Daphnia pulex: one gene and its partners. The protein of the gene in region 3 purifies or fractionates together with the protein of the main gene of each other region. This does not show direct contact. Links are inferred from orthologs where the notes say so. Each region holds a gene or a part of one and is shown on either strand. Other genes may lie near its edges. The genes, in order: vesicle-associated membrane protein 2-like, syntaxin-8-like and vesicle transport through interaction with t-SNAREs homolog 1A-like.

Evidence for each region.
Region 1: the proteins of vesicle transport through interaction with t-SNAREs homolog 1A-like (region 3) and vesicle-associated membrane protein 2-like purify together in Homo sapiens (affinity purification with mass spectrometry; 4 studies listed by BioGRID and IntAct, counting the BioPlex papers as one, with this or other methods). This does not show direct contact. The link is inferred for Daphnia pulex from reciprocal best matches to the Homo sapiens genes VTI1A and VAMP4.
Region 2: the proteins of vesicle transport through interaction with t-SNAREs homolog 1A-like (region 3) and syntaxin-8-like purify together in Homo sapiens (affinity purification with mass spectrometry; 3 studies listed by BioGRID and IntAct, with this or other methods). This does not show direct contact. The link is inferred for Daphnia pulex from reciprocal best matches to the Homo sapiens genes VTI1A and STX8.

The regions. Positions count from the first base shown.
Region 1 is NC_060027.1:3,974,363-3,977,732, forward strand, and holds vesicle-associated membrane protein 2-like, read left to right. Parts: upstream 1-1,398; 5' UTR 1,399-1,527; coding exon 1,528-1,581; intron 1,582-1,701; coding exon 1,702-1,754; intron 1,755-1,813; coding exon 1,814-1,855; intron 1,856-1,915; coding exon 1,916-2,062; intron 2,063-2,124; coding exon 2,125-2,210; intron 2,211-2,275; coding exon 2,276-2,301; 3' UTR 2,302-2,331; exon of another isoform or gene 2,332-2,395; intron 2,396-2,407; 3' UTR 2,408-2,719; downstream 2,720-3,370. UniProt on the Homo sapiens protein: Involved in the pathway that functions to remove an inhibitor (probably synaptotagmin-4) of calcium-triggered exocytosis during the maturation of secretory granules.
Region 2 is NC_060022.1:2,056,263-2,059,524, reverse strand, and holds syntaxin-8-like, read left to right. Parts: upstream 1-1,345; 5' UTR 1,346-1,432; coding exon 1,433-1,470; intron 1,471-1,621; coding exon 1,622-1,816; intron 1,817-1,879; coding exon 1,880-1,966; intron 1,967-2,028; coding exon 2,029-2,165; intron 2,166-2,221; coding exon 2,222-2,314; intron 2,315-2,374; coding exon 2,375-2,476; intron 2,477-2,543; coding exon 2,544-2,611; 3' UTR 2,612-2,724; downstream 2,725-3,262. Other genes in the region: bestrophin-4-like, read right to left, coding at 1-52, 136-256, 321-495, 592-702, 779-875, 1,128-1,194; serine-rich adhesin for platelets-like, read right to left, coding at 3,119-3,142, 3,206-3,262. UniProt on the Homo sapiens protein: Vesicle trafficking protein that functions in the early secretory pathway, possibly by mediating retrograde transport from cis-Golgi membranes to the ER.
Region 3 is NC_060026.1:5,809,894-5,813,147, forward strand, and holds vesicle transport through interaction with t-SNAREs homolog 1A-like, read right to left. Parts: upstream 1,822-3,254; 5' UTR 1,672-1,821; coding exon 1,622-1,671; intron 1,563-1,621; coding exon 1,507-1,562; intron 1,439-1,506; coding exon 1,377-1,438; intron 1,305-1,376; coding exon 960-1,304; intron 889-959; coding exon 730-888; 3' UTR 660-729; downstream 1-659. Other genes in the region: ubiquitin-conjugating enzyme E2-17 kDa, read left to right, coding at 81-220; 60S ribosomal protein L34-like, read left to right, coding at 2,194-2,258, 2,429-2,626, 2,687-2,783. UniProt on the Homo sapiens protein: V-SNARE that mediates vesicle transport pathways through interactions with t-SNAREs on the target membrane. These interactions are proposed to mediate aspects of the specificity of vesicle trafficking and to promote fusion of the lipid bilayers.

The DNA of each region.
Region 1 (3,370 bases), on a different chromosome or scaffold from region 3:
AAAAGAAAGTTAAATAGAGGTTTTTCCATTTGGTTCGTGTAAGTAGAGGGAAAAGTCGTGCGGCTAGTCGACTAGTGCGCACCATGGCGGTGGATAGCCGAAACTTGCTGCAGACTTTGCTTGATCCAAACGATAGTCACCGTAAGGCCATGTACTGTAACCTGTCAGGCTGTCAGCAGCAAAAGTGAAACCTGTTTTTTTTCTTAAGTGTTTAAAATGACAGAAGGTTTTTGTTTCATATGTTCAACTTATGAAAAAAAAAAAAGAGATCGCCGAAGTTTTTTCAAAGTGAAATGAGTTCTTTCTCAATTGAATTACTGTTAATGTTGCATTCTGGCACTTTGAAAAAACTTCGGCGATCTCTTTTTTTTTTCATAAGTTGAACATATGAAACAAAAACCTTTTGTCATTTTAAACACTTAAGAAAAAAAACAGGTTTCACTTTTGCTGCTGACAGCCTGACAGGTTACAGTACATGGCCTTACGGTGACTATCGTTTGGATCAAGCAAAGTCTGCAGCAAGTTTCGGCTATCCACCGCCATGGTGCGCACTAGTCGACTAGCCGCACGACTTTTCCCTCTACTTACACGAACCAAATGGAAAAACCTCTATAGGCTAACTGAACTAATATATGAACAATGGGAGGTCGGGTGTGTGAGTCGGATAAGGCGTGGCTTAGTGATCGCAAGAGCACTTTGACACCTGAGTTCGACTCTACTGGTGAACATAGCTGTTTCACACCGATCGATAAATAACTAAGTAAAATAGCAATTAATGAGGTAATAACTCGTCAATGGAATGGATTATCGTTGGTTTCATTGATTTCATTGAATCTAACGAGGTGCAAGAAAGTTAGCATGGAAGTATTGCATTCAAATCCTAAGACCTACATCTAGGTATTCAAATGGCTTTACAACGTTACACTTGTAAGCCAATCGGTTAATTCTTAATCCATGGTTAACTGAATACAGCGGTTCTTTGAGTCCTAAAAAGCGTAGGCTCAGAACTCTAGATGAAGCTAACATTGATCTGGCGATGCCAGTATTGGTCTACAGAGTGAAAAACCCCATACATGTTTTTTTTTTTTTTAATTATTATTGTTTAATTGTTTAAAGTTAGATTTCTGATCATTATTCAAACTTCAGGTTTCAAAAATACTCTGATTTAGACTTTTGCCATCTATTCGCACATGAATATACTAAAAATCGAATTGTTTTTATAAAAATGGTCTTTTTACGGCAATTAGCGAGTTATTGAAGATCCTATGCTAAATGCTATGTGTTCTTTTTAAAAAATGAAACAGTACTTATTAATCACAAACAGCTATTCTTTTGCTGCTTTTACTTGTAGCCCAGCTGACGAATGTGTACACAGTTGTAGTCGTCGACAATAGATGGCGTTTAGCAGAAGATATTTGATGAAATTAATTGACAGCTTTGTTTTCCTTTAGTTATTGTAAAGTTACTAGTTAGTTTGATCCTATTTTCACATTTTCAAGAAAGTTCATAAATATTTTAATATCTGCTATGTCTGGAAGACCAACTAGACCAAGCAGGAGTGAAGGAGCAGATTTTGAAAGAGTAAAGTCATAAAGTGTTTTTACCAAAAACTCACTTGTCAGCTTTAATATTCTTTACAACTATATGTTGTTACGTGGGAGTAACTTAAATACTAACACTAAGAATCCTTGTCCTTTACAGGAGCAGCTACTAGATAATGTGTCTGATGATAGTGATGAAGATTTCGTGCTCAAGTAAGCTATTTCTAATATTTCAAATTAGTTTGTTTCATTTCAAATTTGAATTTTTCCAGTAAAAAAGATGGAGGACAATTTTCAAACAACAAGCTGAAAGAGTAAGCTTACATCTTGAGAATTCAAATTACATGTTGATCTAATTGTTTTTCTTTTGACAGGGTAAAATCCCAGGTGGAAGAGGTCACTAACGTTATGAAGGAGAATGTGCATAAGCTGTTTGCCAGAGGTGACCAGCTGGATGAGCTGAATGAGAGATCAGAAAATTTAAGAAGTGCTTCCGATGAATTTCACACTGCTTCCTCAAGGTAATCTTTTATTTTTAACAACTAGTCTACAATATTTAACAAAATCTTTACTCACCATGCAGGCTCCGTAAAACAATGTGGTGGAAAGAGATGAGAACTCGTCTCATTCTAGGATCACTCTGCGGTCTAGTTGTGCTAATTATGATAGGTATCATGTGCTGCATTTTTAAACATAGCAACTTTTATCTAAACCATTTTTCCAAATCAATATAGTGTGGCTATCAGTCAAATACCATTGATCAGCAAGAAGATTTTCAAGATATCCCCAAGTATTGAAATATGTTGTAACTGAGCTATTCTAAAACAGCTATAATAATTTGTTTTTGATTATTTTAAAAAAAAAAGCCTGTCGACCGGTATTACTAGGCGTACAAGTTGAGTCCATCAAAATCCGCAAATTCAAATATTGAAAGGTGGGGTTTGCACACTATAGTCAGATGAATGGATGACAATTTGAAATATATATTTGATTACTATAAATCCACTTAACATTGTCTTGTGGAATCGAGTGAGATTGATAATGTCTGTCACAGAAAAATGAAAAAAAAAAGTATCAAACACTTTGATGAACGGCTGATCATTTTCCCATTGTATTTCACCTTTTACACGGTTTATATATCAATTGATGAATACAGAACCGATGGTATTCCACATATATTTATACATCGTGTCACTCTCTCTCATTGGATTCCATCCCCCGCCATATCCAACCCGGTCACAGCTCTTTTATTTTCCCTCGAACTGCTGATCATTCAACGAAACTTAAATTTTTTTTCCCCGATTCGTTCTATATTCTCCTAACTTTTCAACAAAAAAAAAAACACGGAGTGAATCTGATTTTATCATCACGTACGGAAGTTTTTTTTTTTCATATGTATGTACAGGGAACTAAAAAATAAAAACAGGGGGAACGACACAGTTTTTACGTTGAATATAAAAAAGAACTCAAACAAGGAAACAACATCGTATCCAGTGGATGAGCAAAGAACGAGAGAGCAAGAGCGGAGAGGGGAGTGTGTGTGTGTGGTGGAGGAATTCAAGTTAAATAAATAAAAAAACAACCAGGGTAATTTTCGCGACGTAGTTTTATCTCTTTGGGTTGGTTTGTTTTTATTTGGTGGAAGAACAAAACGAACAAGAACATAAGAATGAAGGAAGGCATGAAGCATGCATTGGGGATGCTCAGACCCCTCCACAATTGGAATTGTGTCCCGTGGACCATATATAGTATGTATAGCAGAGTTATAGAGAACTGTACATACACACACACACACACTTGCATGTCCAAACCCAATTCCTTTGGGTGTA
Region 2 (3,262 bases), on a different chromosome or scaffold from region 3:
TTAGTCAAAAGAGAGTCTTCTATGATCTGCCTTTCGTCTTGAGTTAGTAATCCTAGATTGAAATATATATAAATATGTTAATTGTAAAGAAATAACAAGGTAATCTAAAAAAGAAGGGTCTAATCATTAGACTACCTGCAGTTTGTAAGGACGAAAGATTTGGATAGATTTTTCGTATAGGATGAGACACCAGACAAAATGAAAATATCAAAGCAAGCAATTGCCATCGTACAAATTGATCGATAATCACAGGCCCCTTTAATAAAATAGCGATTAAAATTATTGCATTATAATGATAAATGACTCTCAGTTGGACTTACTTCAGGTAGATCTGGTTTCAGTGAAAATATGAATACGGTAATTGATTGGTCTGTTTCGGGTGTTTGCATCGAGTATAATCGTTGCATGGCTGTTGATGTAAAGAAGCCAAGCAATACCATAAGGTTAATACTACCGCTATATCGGGAACAATGTTCGGCAAGGACCCTGAAATTCCTACAAACAATTTACAAAAATAGAAAACGATATTCAGTCAGCGCGTGGAACGTTTACCATTATAAGACTGTTGGAATGTATTGACCAATACTTAACATTTTTCCATATTCGTCGAGGATGAATTCGTAGAGAATGCTCAGCCATATGTATACTATTGCGTAGATCACCATGTGCTTCCATAACAATTTGTAAACACTTCGTTTCCATCTATAAAAGTAATTGAAATTACAATTTTGAATGAATAAGATAGCATTGCCAAAAATGCCAATGACGGAAGAGTTACTTCAGAAGAATAGACACATTGCCGATGAATTTCTTGTAGGTTTTAATTGAAGTCGTCGGATTTCCAAACATGGGATTCATCGTCGTAATCGTCCGTGCTAGCTTATAACGTGAACTTGAGGATAACTTAGAGACGTGGGACAAGGCCAAGTGGCTGTAACAAACCACTCTCACTCTTTGCTCATTACGTTCCTACTAAATGTTACACTACGAGCTGTGGGCCAATTTATTAGGAAAAAATGTCGATCCTGATAATACCAGTTAAACCACAATTAGTATCTACTTGGCCTTGTAGTGTAGGTGTAATCTAATCTAGTGGTTAAATTCAAGTGAAACCAATAATAACTTACCAGGCTTGCCGGCTGCCGCAGGAGACTGGAAATCAGAAATTGATAGACCTCGTGTATATCTACTCATAAATCTTTTCACTAAACATCACGAGGAATAAATACACTAAAGCACCGACCGTACGGTACGGGAAAGAATAACACACAATGTCACAATGACACAACAAGAATTCTGATGTGATGTCTGGCCGGCGCCGGCCATTCTCTTTCTCTTTCGTTTTTCCCTGCCCTTTCCCAAGTCTGTATATATATATACAAAGCGACACCATCGCATTTGACAGCTGTCTCGAGCAGACGTCTATGAAAGAATGGCGCTCGTCGATTTGGGAAACGACGCTAATGCCTGGTAAGTAAACAAAACTAATCTTTTAGATAATGTCAATATTTTACCTTGTGGTTCTGGCCCAAGCTCTTACCAAATAATACGAAAGACAAATTTTTGTTGCTGCATCTGTAGATGTTATCACATTAATTCTTAATTGTATCCATCAAACCAGGGAAAAGGAGTTCTCATCTGCTGAAAAATTACATTTTTCATTACTGGGGATTTTTAATGAAAGGGATCACCTACCAAAGAATTCTCAAGCACATGCAAGACTTTCTTTTCAGTTGAGGAATAGCTTGAGTCAACTTTACAGTGAAATCCAAAGTCTTAAAGGACATCTTGAACGGCTCTCACAAAATAAACAATTGTATTGTATTGACTTCCACCTAACATTAATGAAGTTAGCTCATTTCTAAAACTTTTCACTCAGGACTGCAAGAGAGAAAGAACGGCGGGGCCTTCTCCTTGAAGATCTTTTAAGCAAACATAAGCAGCTTCTGAATTCTGTCAATAGCAGGTTTGTAGTTTTTCATACTATGAATAGAAATATTTTCATTTACAGTTTTCTGTTTACTATAGCGTGTTGGATAAGAGCCAATCCCTTAGTAAATTGTCATCAGGAACAACAACCTCTTCAAATCCATCATCATCTGCAATGACTAGTGAACATATCCCTCATCGTGAACTCAAACAAATCCAAGTCCAAATTATGGCAGGTTAGTGGATTTAAATGTGTTATTCATATGTGTCTTAATAAAAATGTATTTTCTAGATCAAGACAGAGGGCTGGATGAGCTTTCGAGAATTATTGGCAGGCAAAGGCAAATTGCCCAGACAATTGGTGATGAAGTTGAATCACAAAATGGTAAATTCTTTTGATTAATTATCATAAAATAATAATAAAAATTGTATTTTCTTGGTTTAGATTTGATTGAAAACATCGCAGACAACGTTGATCGCACTCGGGATCGAATGGCACAGCAAACTTCAACAATAACTGTAGTTGATCGGAAGGATCGTACTTTTGGTAAACACAGATCTTGTTAGATAAGGTGCTTCAGACAGATGCAATAATTTCTTTGTTTTCACTTCAGGATATTGGATGGTAATCCTGTTGTTGTTTGTTGCCATCGTTGTAGTCGCTTCTATTCCGAAACATTAATGAGAAATTCCAAAGCTGCCTAAGTTAATTTGACCGTATCTCGTCCTTAAAACTACATCGATTCTATTAAAGTGATGAAAGAGAAAAATATATAACGCAATTTATTCTCGAAATGGTTGTATGACAAGTGTATTTATTTGCCCATTCTTCGTGGGGTTTACATTTAGGGCATTGAAATTGAATGTGAAAATGAACCAGGCTTCTTTTTATAGACAAATTAATTTATAACTTCCGTTAACAACTTTCGTTCATCTTAAAGGATTTGCGCATTACGGAGTAAACAATGAATAAGCATAACAGGTTTGGAATGCATAACAGTTTTTATTGATATAATTATTATCTCGAAGAAAAAAAAAGAAGGAAAAAACTAACTGTGAAACGAATGTCTCAAAACTGCAACACATTTTTTAAATGATTAACCTGGAATGTGAATAGAAACTTTAACGGCGTTTTTTTATATAGCAAGGAATTTTGACACAGACAGCATTGACTTGTTTACACATGTTCCTACTTCTCCAAGCTAGTTCCAGTCTATAGAATTTAAAAAAATGTATGTTAATCAAATTACATTTAATAAAACAAAAATACTATTACCTTCTTTAGGGAACCTCCGTTGGCAAAGCTTCGGATGGAGTTGAGAAGCTCTTCTCT
Region 3 (3,254 bases):
ATATATTAAAATATTTTTTAAAATATATTCTTAGATAGATAGATGGAATATTTTTTAATTGTATCATATTGTAATTTCAGTGCTGCTGTCAATTTGTTCTCTGCTATGCGACCCAAACCCGGATGATCCTTTGGTTCCCGAGATTGCCAGGATATACAAGACTGATCGAGAGCGATACAATGAACTTGCACGTGAATGGACTCGTAAATACGCCATGTGATGACTACGTCATTTGTTTGGCCCAGCTCTTTTTTCAAATCCCCTCACACCCCAACTTCCCCACCCATCTACTCCTTGCGATCGAAATGAATCGAGATGTCGATGGAACTTAATTAATTCTAAATAAAAATCCTTGTGCCGTCAGTTAGTATTTTCGGTTTATTGTCGCAAAAGCTGGAATAAGTTATCTATTGATGCTTACATAAGAAATAATGCTTGTGAATAAGCATACGAAACTGAACTTAATTATTCCCTTAGTGATGTTTTGAGTGATTGAAATTTTTATTGCTTTTAGAATTCATGGTCGAAAATGGCTTACTCAGAAAATTTTCCAATTCTCAATTGAATATTATGTAATTTCAGTAGGACCATCTGTTGCAGATTTAAATAACCTTGAAGTGATCGTAATCGTAGGATGACAAATAAAAGCATCAGTTGCATGACGTGCGCAAAAATACTATATTGAAACAAAGTACATACATTTACATATACATACAAATTGTGGAATGGCTAAGAACTTTTCCGAAATTTAATATACAATGTAATTATAATCAAAATTACAGCAAGAATAATTAAGCCAACAAACGCAAGACGATTCTGAATAATTCTGCCAAACATGCGATTCAGCAAGCGCCCACTACGACTTAACTGTTCATCGGTTTCTCGTAGCTTATAACAAAAAAAAGTTAGCATGTTAAAATTTGAAATCAAATATTAGAGCGATGTTTTCTTAAACTTACTCTGTTCCTGGTTTTTTGAATGGTTTCCCTTTGTTGATTGAGATCAGTAAGTATGTTGTTTCCAATCTGCTCTGTTTCAATAGCAATTTGATAGCCTGCTTCTAAACGATTTCTTCCTCGTTCTAGCTTTTCACCATTACTAATCAATAGTTGATTTTGATCATATACATCTTCTGCATCAGTGTCTCCAATTAATTCTTCTCTCTCTCCACCATTTGAAATTCTTTTACTCTTGAATTCTTTTTCTAGTCTGGAAAGTTCAACTTTGTAGCTTTCAATACGAGTACAATATTTGTTTTTTGAAGCTGTATCCAGTTCTCGAATCTCCAATTCCATCTGTTCCAACTGAAGTAAAATTAGAATATTTAAAAGTCGTGTTACATTTATCAAATATTAATGCAGAATTAATATTCTTACAATATCCTTAGTTTCTTCAAGTTCTCTTACAATCTGTTGAATGGAACATTTCTTATCCTCCGCTGAAATGTTAGAAATAAAATTGACTAAACGGAAACATAATAAATGGAAAATTTCAATATGATTGAACCTTTAGTTATTCCATTCAGTGTTGCTGTTCTTGCAGTAATGCTTGCAGTGATGACACTTTAAAATCATAATTATTATTGAAAACTGTGAGTGAAGAAATTTTAAAATAAACATACCTGAATTGCTGTTCATAACTTTTTAACAAGGAGTCCATTTTCGTTAACATATAGGGTATATTTACCTGTCACAAGACAACACCAGGGGTACGGCGAGACGCTACATGTAAAGTTGTAATTGTAAACATAATCCGTAAACATTTGCCAATTTAAAATGGCTGCCAAGTACTTCAAAGAATTGAGTAATAACATAAGAAAAAAGATTTGTTGCCAGTGGTGAATTACTTTTAGAAAATTTGTTGAGTAAATCACGAAATTTATTGCAATTTATATTTAACTTATTTCGAAAGGAGACAAGAAAAGATTAATATTATTTTCCGCGACCATTTTCCATTTTTCAGTTGACTAAAACTTTTATTTGCTACTTGGCAACAGCGAACGTTGTTCTCTTCGTCAAGTAAAGTCTTTCTCTTAGAGCTCCTTTTCACTTCGGGCTTGGATTCGAAAGGTATTTTTAAATATCAATGTACATCCATATCTCCTTGAAACTATTTTTCAGATTAAATATTGTAATGTGAACTAGTGTTCGTTTTGAACTAAATGGTCCAACCTTTTTGTTGATTTTAGGTAAAATGGCTCAACGTTTAACTTATCGGAGGCGCCTCTCCTACAACACCGCTAGCAACCAGCGACGCATGTAAGATTGTCATACATTAATTAGATGTCTAGATTAGAGATAGAATTGATCAGTTGAGTGAAAGCGATTTTTAATGATAATTTTCTAAATGTTCAACACTTTTATGTGAAGTGTCAACAATACCTACAACTTATTGTTATGAACTTGTGATAATATTTTTATGTTTTCAGTGTGAGAACCCCAGGTGGTCGCCTTGTATATCAATACAAAAAGAAGCAAAGGAAGATTCCCAAATGTGGTATGTGCAAGACTACACTCAGAGGTATCCGACCAGCAAGAGCTCATGAGCGAAAAAGAATGTCACTGAGACAAAAGAAAGTCTACCGTGCCTATGGTGGATGTCTTTGTCACAGCTGTGTCAGAGAGAAGTATGTTGTGCTCAGTACATTTTTAAATTGGTGTTTCTAACATGTTTTCCTTAATTTCAGGATTGTGAGGGCGTTCTTGATTGAAGAGCAGAAAATAGTAGCCAAAGTACTGAAGGCTCAGCAGGCTGCTGTTAAATCTTCTAAAGGCAAAGTTTAAATGTCCTCCAATGAAGTGTGGGTGGATTTTAATACACCTTGCATCATGTGGTATTATTGTATTTGTGTTTCTCACTGTCAAAAGGTGTCCCCTTCATGGCTCGCTTGAAATTATTTAAGCTTTAGGATAATGTGTTCTGTGCATCCGACTAGTTTTTTTTTTTTTTCGGATTAGAAGTTGGATTGATAAATTTAGGTTTAACAATCTTAGCGCTAGTTTACAGCTGTAACCTAGCGTCAGCCTATTTCACCAAGAGGTTAACATTTATTCTTTTGCTGAAACAACCAATTAGACAGGATGTCCTTACATACTACTAGAAATTAAAATAATGTCAACTATTTACTAAATTAATTAAATGATTAAATCAAAATAAAACTACTTGGCTGTTGTTTCCAAGGCGGTTCAGAAATTTATTTTAAGAAACGCCGTGCAGGTCATAGTTTTAAAATCACAGTAAAATTATTCATTGGG